Arabidopsis thaliana: one gene and its partners. The protein of the gene in region 1 interacts with the protein of each later gene in a pairwise test. Each region holds a gene or a part of one and is shown in the gene's direction. Other genes may lie near its edges.

Region 1 (4,707 bases):
GAAGCTTAATGAAAATAAGAGCCAAAAAGGTAACTTCTAGATTATTGTATATGTGATCATTTCTTAGTTTTAAAATAAAATCTTCACTCTTATCATATGGTTATTGTTTCATCGAGATTTATGACAATGACGTGGTGGCCGCCTGGTTCGATTATCACAAATGAGTTGATTATGTAAACAATATAAACATGGGATCATCCTATAAACACTCCAAATACACACATACACACACACACACACACACACACACACTTGGAGGCATGCATGCATGCATGCATATGTGTTGAGAAAAGACTTATATGTTATCTTCTTCTTCTTTTTTGTCATCACCTTATATGTTATCTTTAATGAGTCTTTTACCAACTAATTTAGCTATTTAATTCCTTAATTTCAGTACCAGTTATTACGAGAAGAAACTGAGAAATTAAAAGAAAAGGTAACATGTAGCTTTTTTATTAATTTAGTACAAATGTATTGGTCAGGTACTAATCATATTTCCCATAATTAAACGGTTAAACCATATTTCATGGTTTATTGTCAATATTTTAGGAGAGGAACCTCATTGCAGAAAATAAAATGCTGATGGAGAAGGTACAAATTAATATTAACTTACGGGCTGATTTATGTTCTCAATTCTCATTCTATTATTATGAAATTATCTGCTTTTTTTCAAAAAGTGTGTTTTAATTTGAGGAAATGTGTGAATGAAGTGTGAGATGCAAGGAAGAGGAATAATAGGAAGAATATCATCATCATCATCAACATCAGAACTGGATATAGATGACAATGAAATGGAAGTGGTGACTGATTTGTTCATTGGACCTCCTGAGACTCGACACTTCAAAAAGTTTCCTCCTTCAAACTAACATATATAGTACAATGCTTATATAGATATTATGTAGGGAATTACTTTTTTCCCTGAAGAAAAATTGATGTTACTTACTGAATTTAGCAGTTGCATAAAAAAAAAGATTACTGCATTTAAGCTTTGCTTTTTTTTTCTTTTTGTTTTTTTCTTTTGTATCGTCTCACCCAACTTTGCAATCCTAAAATAATTTCAGAATAAATTGTTTAACAGGTTTTTTATTTAACATAATTTTTTCATATCTTTTTAAAAATAATTGTTTAGAATATAACTAATTTGATCGATATATTATATGTTCGGGACAAGTTCTTGGAGAGTGAAAACAAATCCGGGTGCGTAGCTAGGTCGGTTCCCTATAATGGCTTTGCGGATAAGATCTCCATGTTTCATGCTAGACATGAAGATGATGTATGATTTATATACGAATAATGGGTCAGTTGGAAAGATTTTTGAATCCTAGTAGAGGTATGGTCTTTTGAACTCGGGAAAAGTTGCATTGCACCGACCTCTTAAAGTCCTTTTACACTTGGTCTAGACCCAAAAATCGTTGGCTTTCTATGATCGGTCTTTGTCAGCGTGTCATTTACGTGACGTGGTTGGTTTGGTTCGAAATTTCTAAGTAGCTGAAAATTCAGTTCCGTTCCTTCCAAGAACATCATCTTGAAGTAGAATTCTTTGTGACAAACAAAAAAAAATGGTAGAATTCTATGGTTATATATATATATATATATATATATATATATATGTTTATTATAACAACAGACCTAATATCTTCTATGTTTTATGTAATATCTATTTATTTTTTGTTATTTATTGAACCTACATACAAATAAAACAAAACAAAGTAAACTTCTAAATAATATATTTTTCATTTTCATTTTAGTTGAAATATAATTTGATTTTCAATACCAAACTATATAATATCAATATTCAGAATAAGTTAATTGTTACGTATTAAAAACAATGCAAGAACAAATGAAGAAGCCAAAATATCCAAAATGAATAGTAGAAGTCAAGGTCAACATAGTGGACTCTAACAATATCAACGAAGTCAACCGTTGAAGAAATTAAATAACTTGTCTAATAAGTTCTTCTTTTTTCTTGGATTAAATACTTGTTTGAAGCAAATTCAGAGACACTGTCTTCGTCTTCATCTTTGCTATGGCCGTTACTTCGCTTCTCGATACCGTTTTCCGACGTAGAAAGAAGAAGTCTACTGAGTTTATAAGCTGTAAGTATTCATGTTTCTTCTTCTCAAACCTTTTCCTCACATCTGTTACAAAACACACAAAACTATGTTTAATTCTACTTGTCTCTACTAGATACAGCAGTTTTCGAATTCGACTTGGACACCATTAAAGCTGCAACAAATGATTTCTCAGAACTGGTTGGTCGTGGCGGATTTGGTTTTGTTTACAAGGTTTGTTTTTAGTGGTTTCGTACGTTGGTTCGTTTTTAGTGTATGGTAAGAAATTGTAATTAAAACATCCTTTTAAATCATTTTCAGGGTAGGCTTCAAAATGGACAAGAAATAGCAGTCAAGATTTTGTCTACAAGTTCAATTAGAACTGAGAGACAGTTTCATAACGAACTTATTATTTTGTCTAAGCTTAAACACAAGAATCTGATCAATCTTCTTGGTTTCTGCACTAAACGAGACCAACATGGTCTTGTTTACGAGTTCATGCCTAACTCAAGCCTCGATTGTTTTATACTCGGTTAGACAGTTTAAAACAGAGTACCCTTTCCAAATACAATCTAGTCTAGTATCAAGTTCTCATCATTAGTCATTGTGGTAATGTGTTACAGACCCACACAGAGCTGCTCAGCTAAATTGGGAGATGTGCCGAAACATTATTGATGGCATAGCTCGAGGGCTACGTTACCTTCATGAAGAATCCGGGTTATGGGTCGTTCACCGCGACATTAAACCTGGAAACATTCTATTGGATTCAGATTTGAAACCGAAAATAGTGGGATTTGAATTGGCGAGGACGATGCAACAAGGTGAAAACGCAGCTGAAACAACTGAAATTGTCGGTACCGTGTAAGTGAAGTTTTGTGATTTAACATGCTTGAGGGTAAATGTTTTGAAGATGTTTAGAGTGTGATGTATAAAACATTTTTTGATTATCAACAGAGGGTATTTAGATCCGGAGTACATACGAAGCGGACGTGTTTCCGTCAAATCTGACGTTTATGCCTTTGGAGTTACAATCTTGACGATCATTAGCAGAAGGAAGGCTTGGAGTGTGGACGGAGACTCTCTAATCAAATATGTGAGTTTATATTTAAGTAAAAGTTTGTATGATGGTAATTAAGTGGTTCCTTAATCGTATGAATTGTCTTCTTTTAGGTTAGGAGATGCTGGAACAGAGGAGAAGCCATAGATGTGATCCATGAAGTGATGAGGGAAGAAGAAAGAGAATATTCGATAAGCGAAATCTTGAGATACATTCACATTGCTTTGCTATGTGTGGATGAGAATGCTGAGAGAAGGCCGAATATTGATAAAGTTCTGCATTGGTTTAGTTGTTTCTCTACTCCTTTACCTGATCCAACATTTGGTAATAGATTTCTTGTAGAGGAAGAAACAAATTGGCCCTGGTCGCCATCTTTATCTCCTGGTCACAGCTCTGTCACGTCACCCATATCTTCACGTTAAGGAGATTGAGTGCTCTGTTTTATTAGACTGACGAGAGTTTATGATGAAAAGAATTGTTGGTTGATAAGTTCAAGTCGTAATTTGCTATTGTCTTCTTCTTTTTGTGCCCAAATCCAGTAAGACCATTTAGGACGATTCAACAATTATTTGATTACTTTGTTTTCAAATGACAAAGAATAAAATATTTTAAAGAACACTCTCAGCATCACATAAGCAGTTTAAGTAAATACTCTTATCTAATAAATCAGGGGATAACCAAGTGTCGTTAGCTCAATTGGTAAAAACCCTACACGAAGCTTATAGGTCGCCGGTTCGAGTGACACTTGAAACGAAACTAATATTACATGTTGTGGTTTCGGGCCTGGAAGATTACAGGCTTCGGCCCAGAACCTCCTGGTATTAAAAAAAAATAAAAAATAATAATAATTCAGGGGATATAGCAACATTTTTACCAAGTATTGTTAATGTTCATCGCGCTTCCAGTTCTGTTTGCGTTGCTTCGTTTATGGAGAATACGTAGTCTAGCTGTTGATCCCCGTTCAACACGTTTGAGAAAGTTGGTTGTTTCGGAATCGGAAGAGTGTTATCGTTGCTCAACATATAAACGATTTGTGAAATCATGGGTCTATCTTTAGGATGATCTTGAACACAAAGAAGTGCGATATGAATGCACCGCATCGCTTCTTCTAAAGAATACGAACAACACATTGGTTCATCTATAATGCTTACACCTTTTGTTTCACACCAAGATTCCCATTCCTGAAGATGATCAACAACATATAGTTTGGGATTGATCTAAGGTAAGTTACGTTTTTATATATGGTAGATAAATGATATTGAACTATAGAAACACTTACATAAGCAATAAGGCTGTGTTTTTGGTCGTTATGAACAAACCTTGTCGCCTTTTTACCCGATATGATCTCCAATAACAACACTCCAAAGCTGTATATATCCGATTTCTCTGAAATCACTCCACCTAATGCATATTCCGGTGACATATAGCCGCTGAAATTAACCGCTTATGAAATTTAATCCAAAGATTCTAATGTAAATACATATAGGTAGTGATTGTTTTTTCCTTTGCATTGACATGTAAAAATTATGTACTTACCTCAGCACAATGTTTTAGTTTTTTCAAACATCATTCATAAATAAGTTGCAAAGACACTAGGAA
Region 2 (8,465 bases), on another chromosome or scaffold:
ACAGAACACCACATCTAAGTAGCAAGAACAAGTCAATATGCTTTTAGAGTTTCTAATTTTTGAAAGTAGTCACTCACAGCAGTATACTGCACTAGAACCATCAGTTGGTCAACAACCAACACCGCGTCTTCCTTTAACTGCCTTTGAGGGGTTAATTCTTTGCTGATCCTGAGGACAAAAGAAACGATTCGGCAGCTTAAAAGAAAGCTAGACAAACAAATATTAACATTCTCCCATGTACAAATATTTTGAATAAAGCTACCTATCGAAATAGCGCTGTAAATTATGCCACTGAAAATCTTTGGATCGGTTTCCAAACCGAACCACTTCCCCCGAGAAAACTTGCAGCTCCTGCCTGCAAATATATCAAGTTAACTATCTTGCCATGTTTTAAAAAAGCTAGGAAAAAACAAAAGAAGCCGTCTAGACTAAAATTTTCACCTCTTATCAGCTGCAACAAGTCTGAGTAGTTCATCGAAATCATTCGAGACTAGGTTTTGAACACCCTCAGAATAAAGGATAGTTCCTTTTAAATGCTCGATGTTCCTCTTAGAAAGGGATTCAATGAGATTTGAGCTTTTGACAATTGTGTTTGCTACTTCAAAAGCTAAGATCCCAAGTTCATTGCCTTTAGTTGCAACTCCAGAAGTAAATCCACCGCTACTAAGATCTGTCATGCTACTTCCAAGGGTATCCAAAACATCTTTTGCTCTACCTAACCCCGCTTTGCCTAAAAGCTTACTTGCCTCTGTAACCTGCCACAGTATAGCAAATTCGGATTGGTCTCACGACATTTCAGGACTTCTAAACTTAAAAGACACTTGCCGTTACTAAGAGACAATGCTTTAACTCTTAATCTTAGTTGCTAAAAAAGGAGCTTCATTTGGTCCATACTAACCTTTGAAACAGCGGTTTGAGTTGATTTTGCAGACCGAATTTTCTGTGATGGAGCCATAGTATACGTCGGAATTCCATCATAGAAATTATCTTCAGCTTCCCTTTCGCGGAAAGAGAAAACATCTTTTAATTGATTTTGTTCCTTGACGTCTTTAACCATAAGCTGCCTCATACCAGGAACAATCAAACTGGTTTGCCCATTTGGTTGTGAGTGGCCAAAATCAGGTTCTCGACCATCATCAGCCACACTAGAACCAGAATACTCGCTGCCAAAATTGATTCCAAGGCTCTTGGAGCAAAAACTCCCCATAACTCTTTTCCAAAGACCTTTAAGCTAAGTTATCGAAAAGATCATGCCACTGTGGGGAAGAGTAATAACCTAGAACAAAGGAAAAAGTCAGATCAAGAGACTCAAGGAGACCAAATCTTCCAAACTAAATTAGTAACACAGAGATAGGATCGTGTCCGAAATAGTTTAAGACATTGTAATCGCCTTGGGGGAAATTAACAGATTCACATAAAGCCAAAGCCGTTCACGAAGTAAAAGCCTTTAAGTCAAACACTGTGCAAGTCTTCTTTCTCCAAAAAACCTAAGCAAGATCGTATTTTGAGGAGAGGAATGCGAAGAAGAAGACTTACCCAGTAGAGAAAAAGACCAGAAAAGACTTGGGCCAAGCCAATTTCGGAGGTATAGAGCTTGGGATTCACGACACACAACAGTGAAAAGACAAAAGAGACAAAGGAACCTCGAACACGAGAGAATTGATGTTAAAAAGGAGAAAGTCAAGGAGAGTAGTATGAACTAGGAACGAAGGAAGAAATCAGAAAAACAAAAATTAAAAGAGAGATTGGACCACACCAAATTGGCATCAGCTAAAGCCAAATTGAAACAACCAGCTTGATAAAGAAACAAACGAAGAAAAGTCTAAACCTTTTTTCTTTTAATCTCCTCACACTCCATGTTAATAAAAAGAGTCACAGGCGGTGATGGATTGGTCAAATCGTCCCTTATTACCACGCCATTGACTCATTTTGTGCTCTGTCTTTTTACATTCCGTGCAAGTAAAAAACTCATCTTTACTTTCAATCCCTCACTCCTCTTACTTCTAAACCGAAATTGCGCTAAAAGGTTAGGACTTTTCATAGGGATTAAATTAGTCTTAAAAGGCATGTGAAGATCTTATATAAGAAATGATTAAACACTAATCAACTCATCATTGAATAAAAAAGAGTCTTATATTCTCAAAATGCATGATTTCTGGTTCATCGAATCAAATCATAGCACAACAATATTGAACAAAAAGCTTATTTCTATGTTTTTTGACATTTGATGTTCTACTTCGAATATTTTTGGGTTTAGAATTATCTGATTTAAAATCAATTTATTTGATCTTGTTCAGTTTCATTAAATTTGTGGTCTAATTTCGGTTTAATTCACACAAAACAAATTCGTTATTTTAAGAAAACAGATTTGGATCGAATCGGGTCGGGTGGGTTAGAATCCGATGGACAGGCCCAATTGGATACAGTGGCCCAGTTACATAGTCTGTGGCTCAGGATACTTTGAATTTCTCTCAAAACAGTAGAGAGAGGTGTAGAGAGCTTAGACAGTGCCATGGCCATGGCTTCTGCTATGGACTTATCTTCTCCTCCAACGTTTTTCTTATCCGGAACTTCTACATCTTCCCCATCTCTCCGTCGTCTCTCCTCCATTTCCGTCTCTGGATTCCGCCGTCACTCTAATCGGAAGTTACAGATACTTTGCCAAGCCACAGCTGGAACTGAGCCTCAGAGCGGTCTCTCTGTCTCTGGCTCCAAATTAGCCGCCCGTTCTGGTCAAGACCGTCTTTTGAAGGTCGGGTTCTGTTTTGTTCTCTCTCTTCATCCGTGTGCCGAAACTTGAGAAGAATTTGGATTTTTTTTGAAACTGAATTTGTTATGAAATTCGCAGGTTCCAATTTCGAACATCAGGAATTTTAGTATTATAGCTCATATTGATCATGGGAAATCTACGTTAGCGGATAAGTTGCTTCAGGTGACTGGTACTGTTCAGAACAGAGATATGAAGGAGCAGTTTCTTGATAACATGGACTTAGAGAGAGAACGAGGCATCACTATCAAGCTTCAGGTTTTTCTTTCAATCGCTTTCTCTGCACAATCAAAAATCAGTTTCGATAAGATTGCTCAACGGTCTGATTTGTAACTTTGCGGTGTATGTTTGTGTAGGCAGCTCGAATGCGTTATGTTTATGAAGATACACCGTTTTGCCTCAACTTGATAGATACTCCAGGTCATGTTGATTTCTCTTACGAGGTACTTACAATATTCTAATCTACTTATTGTCTACGGATACATTTGAAGCTTAGCCTTATAGTTATTTTTCATATGTGAGAAGTTACTTGGTTTGAGTGTTATATATCACCTAAAAGCGTAATTTTTTTTACAGTTAGGAATATACACAAACTATTAAGTTGCAGTTTTGATGAAGAATGCACTGTTTATTTGTACATAGGTTTCCCGATCTCTTGCTGCTTGCGAGGGTGCTCTTCTTGTTGTGGATGCATCCCAGGTGATTTTTCTTTCTCTTGACATACAATTTTCTGACACGCTGTGGAAACCTGGAATCTGTATTGTTTATGCCGTTTTTTCGCTTGGTAATTTCGTTCTTTTCTGATGGTTACATACTTACATTACTGAAAAACTTAAACTTCCTCTATCATGTGCTTTAGGGTGTGGAAGCACAAACATTGGCTAATGTGTATTTGGCCTTGGAAAACAACCTCGAAATTATTCCCGTAAGTACGGAATTATGCTTCATCTTATTAGCTATATGTGCTAGTTATCATCATTCCTTTTAACAAATCACATTTCAACTATATGTGGTAGTTATCATCATTCTTTCCTTCGTCTCATCTCCATGGAAGATTATTTAAAAATGTCAATGTCGTTTTATTTAAAAGAAGTCGGAGTCTGCAATAAGTTAACTTTCAAACAAGGCAAATATGTTAAAAAAAATAGGTAGTATCACTCTGGCAGTACATAGAAGATGCGTAGTAAAGAAAAGAATAGCTAGTCTAGGATAAAATGATTATATCATTTAACGTTTCATTATTGCTTCAACCTGATTCATGACTATACAGGAAATAATAATGTAAGGTGGTTTATTCTTCTTTCAAATATTTGGTCTGCATACCAGAGTTTAAAGCAAATGAACTCTACTTCTTCCTGCAGGTTTTAAATAAGATTGACCTTCCAGGCGCTGAGCCAGAGAAAGTTCTCAGGGAGATTGAGGAGGTTGGTGATTATGTTCATTGTGTTACCCATTTTATGATGTTCGTATTCAATAGCAATCATACAATGCAACCAGTAATAATTTGAACAGTATTCCTTTTTGGGTGTCTGCAAAAACTCTTCAGTCTTTTATTTTTCTGTTGTCAATATGTTATCTTGACATTTTACAAGGTTCTAGCTTCTAGTATTAGATATTATGTTGATTATTGCGGTACATTCTTTTATGCTTTAAACATTTTCTTTGTGATATTATGATCCAGTCTCATGTTCCTCGAATGGGGTAATTGTCTCATTGCTGCAATTTCAGAGACATCAGCCTTTATGTGAACACTGATTGATAATTCATATTGTTTGTAGGTTATTGGGTTAGATTGTAGCAAAGCGATATTCTGTTCGGCAAAGGTTAGATTTTAAAATTGTTTTGCTATTCTGCTACCCAAAAATTAAGACGTGTGGCTTTCTATCCATTCAATTACAATTTTTGGGGAATAATATATACACGCAGGAGGGAATTGGTATTACCGAGATTTTGGATGCAATTGTTCAAAGGATACCTGCACCTCTCGATACTGCAGGAAAGCCCTTAAGAGCTTTAATTTTTGACAGGTTTGCACTTGTTGTTTTTATTCATAACGATTTTTGCCTTTTCTAGAGAAAACAGTATGAAATTGAGTCTTGGAGTCGAAGTTGTATTCGTATATAATGATTGGACTGATCATTGGCATGTCAAGTCAGTACCAGTTAATCACTGGTGAACTAAAAATGAGTGTGAAATACTCGTGTTTGTTTTGCTTGATTAGTCTACAAGTGTGCAGTTTTTATATGTGAACTACTTTATATTTTTCGTCCAAAATTCATTTTGCTGCAGTTATTATGATCCATATCGTGGTGTCATTGTATACTTTCGAGTTATCGATGGGAAAGTGAAGAAAGGCGACAGAATTTTTTTCATGGCAAGCGGAAAGGTTTATCTCTTTTACTCTACTGTACTGTCTTTCTATTTAATCGAGATAGCTTTCCATTTGCCAATAATGAATTGAATGTAATTTGTGCATGAGATAGGTTTTCGCGGTCTATTTGAATAAAGCGATGTGAAGTGTTATTCTATAATTCTTTCAGGAAAAATTTGAGAATGTTTAAGCTTTTAAGAACGCTTACTTGTGTTTCACTAGTATCCTTCATGTTCTCAGTTTTGCATCAATTGCAGGATTATTTTGCGGATGAAGTCGGAGTTCTATCTCCAAATCAAATTCAAGTGGATGAATTATATGCGGGTGAGGTAGTGTACTCTTTTGAACATAATATTTTGTTTGTTTTGTTTACTTTCCTGTGCATCCATGTCCCATTTTCTTGTTGAATTTTTTTCTTTCAGCAGAAACCTTGGTATTATGAAATGAAAATGTCAGTATTCTTTTGCAGTTTCCGCCGTTCTATTCCAACACATGTTAATAGGAAAACTAAAAGCGTTTGTAAATGGAAGGATTTTCTTAGCATTTCCTTGTAGCAGCTTTGGCAGAAGATAGAGTTGTGGTTAATAACAATTTGAATGCAATGAAACAAATATGTTTTCACTTTTCTTGTTTGGCTATATTTGAGAAGAAATGGTTAGTTGCATCTTCCCTTGCTCAAGTTCTAATAGCTAGAAAGATGTTTTTAGCACTGATTGATGCTGCTGGTGTATATCAGATATGCCTGAATATCATGCCACATTTCTTGCACATATTTTAAAGGTTACTGTCCTTAAATACAGGTAGGATATATTGCGGCTTCTGTAAGATCTGTTGCAGATGCCAGGGTAGGAGATACAATAACACATTATAGCAGAAAGGCAGAAAGCTCTTTACCTGGTTACGAGGAAGCTACCCCTATGGTGTTCTGTGGTCTTTTTCCAGTTGACGCTGACCAGTACTGAGTTTTTGTTTTTCATTGTTGACTTTTTGCTTTTTCATTTTGTATTTTTTTTTTTCACACCTGGTCTATGATGGCAGGTTTCCCGATCTTCGCGATGCATTGGAAAAACTGCAACTCAATGATGCTGCATTGAAGGTATAGTAGAATTAAATGACAGAAACAACATTTTTCTTTCATCTGTACCCAGAATAATTTGCACGGACGAAACAACTATGGTCTTCGTATGCTTACTTAGCCAATGTATGTTTATGCCCAGTTGGCTTCGAATTGGAAAGTAAAATTGTGTTTTGCAAAGAACTGGTCTTCAGTCCTCTATTGTATGTATCTTTGTTAAAAATATTCACATTTGGTCTAAGGAGCGTATACGTTAGCATTAACATATCTATAGGTTTGTCCTCAACTTGGTTTTTATCCTGCAGTTTGAGCCTGAAACTTCGAGTGCCATGGGATTTGGCTTTAGATGCGGGTTTTTGGGTCTTCTCCACATGGAAATTGTGCAGGTCAGATATGTTTCGCTCTTCTTGTTCTAAAGTGTTTTTGGTGCGTCTCTGACTGAAAATTTCCTATGCAACAGAAGATAGAGAAAAGAAATTCATAGATACTGAGTTATCTGTTAGTATTTTACTTATTTACAGTTTCCTCCCCGATAGATACCCGCCATAAATTATACTCAACAAAGTGAATTATATCATTCTTTGTTCTTACGCTCCAGTTCACTCTTCTTCACAGGAAAGGCTAGAGAGGGAGTACAACTTAAATCTTATTACCACAGCTCCAAGTGTTGTTTATAGGGTGAACTCTGTAAATGGTGATACTGTAATTTCCTCTTGATCCCAAACTTTTAAATATTCTTCTTTGTTCCCTGAAAATCGCATCCTTTTGTCTTTCTTTCTTGATCTAGAGCCTTATTACCTGTGAAATCAATTTTACTGCAGACTTTGTGCTCAAATCCATCACGCCTTCCAGATCCTGGGCAAAGGAAATCGGTCGAGGAGCCATACGTTAAGGTTGCCTTTTCTACTGGAGATATTGCTGATAAGTTCACACACCACATTTCGTAGAATTACATTTCCTTACTGCAAAACCATTTTATACAGATTGAACTGCTCACACCAAAAGACTATATTGGTGCGCTTATGGAGCTCGCTCAAGAGAGGAGAGGGGAGTTCAAAGAAATGAAATATATAGCTGAGAACAGAGCTTCAATCCTCTATGAGTTACCTCTTGCAGAGGTGAGATCTCTGCTTGTGCAGAGTTAAGATAACCCCAATGAAAGTTTAGCCATGTCTCTCTTGATTATGTAAACTGATCTTCTTGTTAATCGCTCCCTGCCATTTTGCAGATGGTGGGTGATTTCTTTGACCAATTGAAGTCGAGAACCAAGGGATATGCTAGCATGGAATACTCCGTTATTGGGTTAGATCTTTCAACTTTTAATACACAGATCTTTCTCTTACTTTGTGATGCTTGCCTTCTATTTTTGTTGATTAACAAAGAAATGCGTCAGCTTTTTTGTGAAGATAAGAATCTATATTCTTTTCATAGTAATCCCAAAGTGATAAACAAGTATCTAAAATATATATATTTGCTTAGCAGCATCAGATCAATTTCAATCAGGTTAATTATCGTGTTGCTCTCTATCGTTAAATTTGGTAGCCCTTCTTTATACAAGTTAACTACTCAGCTTCGTCAGTTTCCATTTAAGCTTAATACATAATATGTTTCTTTTGCTCTTTTTGATGTCTTTCTTACCATCTTAAGGTATTCAACTTTTTTTTTTTGTCTTGTAATATGTGAGCAGGTACAGGGAAAGTGATCTGATAAAACTCGATATTCTGATTAATGCTGAAATGGTGGAACCTTTGTCAACCATCGTACACAGGGATAAGGTTATTTTGCTTAAGCTCTTTAATATGAACTTTTATGAATACAGCATACATACGCACTCTTACACCTGAATACAAAAATTTGGTTCAGCAATCTCATTGATACAATTTCACTTGCCCAAAAAGTTTGGATAAGTAGATTGATGGAAACACGAGGCGCTGCCAACTATCTTTTACACATCTCTGATTGTAAAGTTTTGTAGAACTGTTCCCATTAGCTTAAAGCTCTTACGGCAGAGATTAGTACATCTCTCACGATTTAGCAATGATTTATATCTTGTCCTCACAGTATTGTGGAATCGTTTTGTACTGTGATTCCAGGCATATTCCGTTGGGAGAGCTTTGACTCAGAAACTCAAAGAGCTTATTCCACGACAAATGTTTAAAGTGCCCATCCAGGTATATATCTGCATTTCCAAGCATTTGCAAACAATTGGCTAGAGAGTTCTCTTCCAAATAACTTACATTTCTACGAATGCT
Region 3 (4,751 bases), on another chromosome or scaffold:
CATTTGAAGAAGTGGTGAAAGAAATCTCGTAGAAAGGGACACCTGAGTAAACGATGATATGATATCCTTTGCACTAACTCCCAGTTCAGCTAAACCTATGACGGCTTCAAGTACATAAGGACACTGCCTGCAGAGATTAAAGATTATATATATGTTTACTATGTGTTGAATTGGTATTTAACGTAAAAAGTGAGATATTATAACAGTGTTTCTATGCTAGGAAATGTTGGGAAAGAAAACGAAAAACAGACCTTAAACACTCTTTATAAAAAGCAATAGCACCACGGTTGTATCCAGAATTTCGATGAAGCTTTGCCATCAGTATATTCATCTCTAAGCTCCTGGTCTTGACAGATTCCATCTGGCAAAGAAATAACAAGTGCAAAAATAGATTATAGCTAAGCAGACCATGGCTTTATCATCCCTAATACCTACATGCAGTGTTGGAAGGAATCCAATTAGTTTACTTGTTTTGTAATATGGATTTGCATTGATGGGAGCAGGTCAACGCAACAAAATTCAACTCACATTCAGGAATACTATAACAATGCATTAGTTACGGCCCAAGAATGTTTCACTGAAATTACAGTTACTTAACTCTGGTTATAAAATACAATAGCAAGACATAAAAGTCATCCTATACAAAACCAATCTATAATCTTAGAAATAGAGAAATCCCTAGACAGCTCTTTTACCGTCTCATACACACATATTTTATTTTCTATATACCAAAGTTTCTAGACCAACAAATCCAGAAGACTAAATAAATCTTGAAAACCAGACAAACAGATGACACTCATACCTCAGCAATCGCAGCTTTTGTTTCATTAAGAGCAAAGTGAGATGAAGCAATCTTGAATCTCACCTAAAAGGAAAGTTAGAAAAAGAAGATGCACATGAACTCCAATGAAATTAAACCAAACCACATCACTTTCTGGAAACTGCAACACAGTTATTTACCTCGTTCTCATTAATAGCAGAAATGCTGGAGGCATTCACAGATGATCTGGTAGATAAAGATAATGAACTCCTCGAAATACCGGAGCTTTGCTTCGGAATCCTTGTGTAATGATGCAACGCTTGCTTGTACGTATGCTGACAAAAAGAAGGAATACATATTCAGAATTTCGAGATGACTTCAAAGTAATCCACAGGAAAAGAATAAGCAATACAAATATAAAACTTATCTCTGCTCACTCCATAAATTCATATAATCAGAATCTTTACAATTTTATCATAATCCAGTCAAATTCAAGTTCCGAGAATGATTTATAGAGTTCAAATTTGAGGCAGAACTAAACTATCGAGAACTGAGTAACATTTCCTTCACAGCAAAAGAGAAACATAAAGAATGAAACTTTTGAGAACTTACAATAGCTCTCCGGTGTTCTCTCTGATGAAATAAAGCATCACCCAGTAGAATCTGATTAAAAAACACAGAAAGAATCTAACTTCAATCTAACGGACTCAGCAGCTACTAAAATAGAAAATATCGACGGAGAAAGAAGCTTAACCAAATTCTCCGCCTTGAGCTGAGGACTAGTTTCGGCACTAACAGTAGGAGAAGAAACGAGAAAGCAGCCCTGGATTTAGTTGCATATATAGAGAGAATTTCATTAGCTCTTGATGAAAACTAGGGATTTAGAAAAAAAGAGATAGACAATCAAAATGAGCTAAAAGCTAGAGAAGTTACGAGCATTTCAGCAGAATCGTAAAGCCCATGCTCTATTAAAGTCGCGATCTGCTCCTTTGGAACCTCCATTTCAGAGACAAGAGAGTTCGTCGTTAGTGGCAATGGTGAAGTTTTTTCTTCGGAGCAGCGATGAAGTAAAAGATCCTTCACGCTCGCTCTTCATTTTGAAACAAGAAATCTCGAACCGAGTCAACCCAAACCGACATTAACCGGTTATCTATCTGAAATCCATCTCGGTTCATTAAAACCCGACTTTTCCAAGAGCCCGACTTCACCGAACAATCTCTATCTCCGGTCATGCCTCCATTACCGTCCTCCACGGCGCCTTCGTCTTCGAGACATCTTCGATCGCCGGAAAGTATCGCGAAATTTGCAGGGAGAGCAATATTTCCTGCTTTACAGGGGAAATCGTGTCCGATATGCCTCGAAAATCTAACCGAGCGAAGATCCGCCGCCGTGATCACGGTGTGCAAGCACGGATACTGCCTTGCTTGTATTCGGAAGTGGAGCAGCTTCAAGAGGAATTGTCCTCTTTGTAACACTCGTTTTGATTCCTGGTTTATCGTTAGTGATTTTGCTTCTAGAAAATACCATAAGGAGCAATTACCAATTCTTCGTGATCGTGAGACTTTAACTTATCATCGGAATAATCCTTCCGATCGCCGGAGGTTATCTCTCTCTCTAAGATCCTCTCTATGAAGTTAAAAATCACTTCTTTATTATATTCACTTGGTTATTATTTCATTAGGATAATTCAAAGGTCGAGGGATGTTTTGGAAAACTCTAGCTCAAGATCAAGGCCATTGCCATGGCGGAGATCATTTGGACGACCAGGTTCAGTTCCTGATTCTGTTATCTTCCAGCGAAAGCTTCAGTGGCGAGCTAGGTTGGTTTACTATTGATTCTAACTCTATAGCTTCATTTGCAATCTCCTTTTTCGAAGTGTTAGATTAGTTCGCCGTTGTTTCTAACTAGTGTTGGCTCTAAATACAGCATATACACTAAGCAATTACGAGCTGTTCGATTACATTCAAGGCGCTTGGAACTAGTAAGTTTCATTATACAATGTGTTCTTCTCTGTTTGATGTTTGTAGTATTGGGGTTTACACTCTTACATTATTGGATATATGTTCACATTGGAAGCCTTATATATACCTGCTTCGTTGTGTCATCTTGGATTATTGTAGAGTTTGGCGGTGAATGATTACACCAAAGCAAAGATAACTGAAAGAATTGAGCCATGGATTAGAAGAGAGCTTCAGGCAGTCCTTGGAGATCCTGATCCCTCAGTTATTGTTCATTTTGCGTCAGCTCTTTTCATCAAAAGGCTTGAGAGAGAGAATAATCGACAAACCGGGCAGACCGGGATGTTGGTGGAAGATGAAGTCTCCTCTCTTCGAAAATTCTTGTCTGATAAGGTGGATATATTTTGGCATGAACTAAGGTAAGATTTTTATACGCTAGGGTTTTTTCAGAGTTTCAAGTAGTTACAGGTTTAGTATAGTAGTACAGAAAACACATAGGCAACCTAAACCTAGTGACTTGTAAGTCTGAACAGATGATAGAGCTGATATCTGTTTGGTTTAGGTTTTTTGGTCATATACTATTTCTGATGAGAAAGAAAACATTTTTCAGATGTTTTGCGGAGAGTATACTCACGATGGAGACTTATGATGCAGTGGTTGAATACAATGAGGTGGAGTAATAGCAGTAAAAAAAACAGGTAAAGAAATTAGGATATGTATTATGTGGGTTTGGTTTCACTAAGTAGGAACCTGTTTTGCTTCGATGGTTTTTTTTCTGAAGTCATTATGTTGTATTCGCTTGCAGATAACCGAGCACTATGCTCTCGTCAAATGAAGTAAATAGACAGACTTACAACGCGACTGTTGGTGTCTTGGAAGTTCAATAGTGGAAAGACTGGACCAAGTAAGAGAAACCAAGAGTTAAAGAGTAGGTAGGAGGAAGATGTTGAGATGATGCAAGTTTAGGTGTGGAGTTAGTTTTGAGATAGCTATAGGTGGATTCTCAAATAGCTGACACTTAGTCTCTCTACTTCCATAATGTACGTCTCTTCTATACCAAAAATTCTCACCCCCAAAGTTTCTTTCCAACGCTTTTCCTCACCTCATCATTTTTTCTTACGTTTCGAGTACCACCTATTTCAACAACATTAAATATTTTCTATAATTTGACTATCAATTTTTAATAAATTAAAACTATACATAGTTTTAGATAAATTACACGAAGCTTCCATAGAAGAGGAAAGTTCATTTGAATTTCTCTTCTAAACCGTACCTTAAAGATTAAATGGTGAATATACACGGGGAAATTTTTTTAATAAACAACGCGTTCTCTATTAAGGTATTGATTGATATAAGTAAGCAAGCGGGTGTAACACAAAATAAAATATTATAAAAGGCTTCTTCTATAGGTTGGTAAGCGGCAATCCAGCTGCCATTGCCTATTTGACTTCCCCCATTCGATCATGGTGAGCTCGTCTTCTCTCTTCTCCTCTTATCTCTTTCTCTACCATTTTCTTTTGCTTTAAAGCTCTCTCAATCATGATCATGAAGACCCCCATCACAGCATTCCATTCATCCTCATGAATAATTCTACATCAGGTTTCTTCTCTTTCCCTTTCTGATTCTCAACACTCTTACCACATTTCTACTTTTGTGTTGTATATCGATTTTTGTTCTACATTCTTCCAAATGTCAGGGAATCTAGTTGAAATGTGATGATTTTTGTGTTGATAACTTGATATCTGGTATGGATTGAATGATTGGTGATTATCTCTGTTAATTCATCTCTGATCGTGTTTCTGTTTGTGTTGACTTGGAATGTGGACCTGGTTTGGATAGTGAAGAGGCTGGTTTCATCTAAGGCAATGAAATGTTTCTACTTCAGCAAAGACAAAACTCAGGATGATGAAGCTAAGACTAGAAAGTTTGGTTCAGCTACGATGGCTAGAGGAGGATCAGGGTCTGAGTTTAATTCAGATACAAGTACTGCTACTTCCATTACTTCTTCCTTGCACGTCCTCTCAGAGACACAC

The links. Proteins that work in one complex are often made in the same cells at the same time.
Region 2: the proteins of ARCK1 (region 1) and AT5G08650 interact in a two-hybrid assay, tested with the Arabidopsis thaliana proteins (one large-scale study listed by BioGRID).
Region 3: the proteins of ARCK1 (region 1) and AT2G39100 interact in a two-hybrid assay, tested with the Arabidopsis thaliana proteins (one large-scale study listed by BioGRID).

What each region holds. Positions count from the first base shown.
Region 1 is NC_003075.7:7,146,243-7,150,949, forward strand, and holds ARCK1 (Protein kinase superfamily protein), read left to right. Parts: upstream 1-1,881; 5' UTR 1,882-2,026; coding exon 2,027-2,096; intron 2,097-2,143; exon of another isoform or gene 2,144-2,187; coding exon 2,188-2,285; intron 2,286-2,372; coding exon 2,373-2,583; intron 2,584-2,674; coding exon 2,675-2,912; intron 2,913-3,005; coding exon 3,006-3,144; intron 3,145-3,221; coding exon 3,222-3,530; 3' UTR 3,531-3,683; downstream 3,684-4,707. Other genes in the region: AGL14 (AGAMOUS-like 14), read left to right, coding at 1-29, 395-436, 550-591, 711-866; AT4G11900 (S-locus lectin protein kinase family protein), read right to left, coding at 3,999-4,289, 4,388-4,538. UniProt on the Arabidopsis thaliana protein: Forms a complex with CRK36 that may negatively control abscisic acid (ABA) and osmotic stress signal transduction.
Region 2 is NC_003076.8:2,807,268-2,815,732, reverse strand, and holds the start of AT5G08650 (Small GTP-binding protein), read left to right. Parts: upstream 1-2,130; 5' UTR 2,131-2,512; coding exon 2,513-2,752; intron 2,753-2,848; coding exon 2,849-3,025; intron 3,026-3,123; coding exon 3,124-3,210; intron 3,211-3,409; coding exon 3,410-3,466; intron 3,467-3,626; coding exon 3,627-3,692; intron 3,693-4,128; coding exon 4,129-4,191; intron 4,192-4,545; coding exon 4,546-4,590; intron 4,591-4,693; coding exon 4,694-4,794; intron 4,795-5,056; coding exon 5,057-5,153; intron 5,154-5,395; coding exon 5,396-5,467; intron 5,468-5,938; coding exon 5,939-6,093; intron 6,094-6,176; coding exon 6,177-6,234; intron 6,235-6,518; coding exon 6,519-6,599; intron 6,600-6,828; coding exon 6,829-6,915; intron 6,916-7,034; coding exon 7,035-7,106; intron 7,107-7,196; coding exon 7,197-7,331; intron 7,332-7,441; coding exon 7,442-7,515; intron 7,516-7,900; coding exon 7,901-7,988; intron 7,989-8,306; coding exon 8,307-8,384; intron 8,385-8,465. Other genes in the region: AT5G08660 (D-lactate dehydrogenase (DUF668)), read right to left, coding at 78-168, 263-355, 442-755, 899-1,207. UniProt on the Arabidopsis thaliana protein: Promotes chloroplast protein synthesis. May act as a fidelity factor of the translation reaction, by catalyzing a one-codon backward translocation of tRNAs on improperly translocated ribosomes.
Region 3 is NC_003071.7:16,315,472-16,320,222, forward strand, and holds AT2G39100 (RING/U-box superfamily protein), read left to right. Parts: upstream 1-1,884; 5' UTR 1,885-1,990; coding exon 1,991-2,361; intron 2,362-2,441; coding exon 2,442-2,579; intron 2,580-2,686; coding exon 2,687-2,741; intron 2,742-2,880; coding exon 2,881-3,137; intron 3,138-3,328; coding exon 3,329-3,398; 3' UTR 3,399-3,416; intron 3,417-3,523; 3' UTR 3,524-3,916; downstream 3,917-4,751. Other genes in the region: APC7 (tetratricopeptide repeat (TPR)-containing protein), read right to left, coding at 43-127, 252-361, 803-865, 961-1,095, 1,373-1,423, 1,515-1,583, 1,694-1,762; AT2G39110 (Protein kinase superfamily protein), read left to right, coding at 4,299-4,317, 4,558-4,751.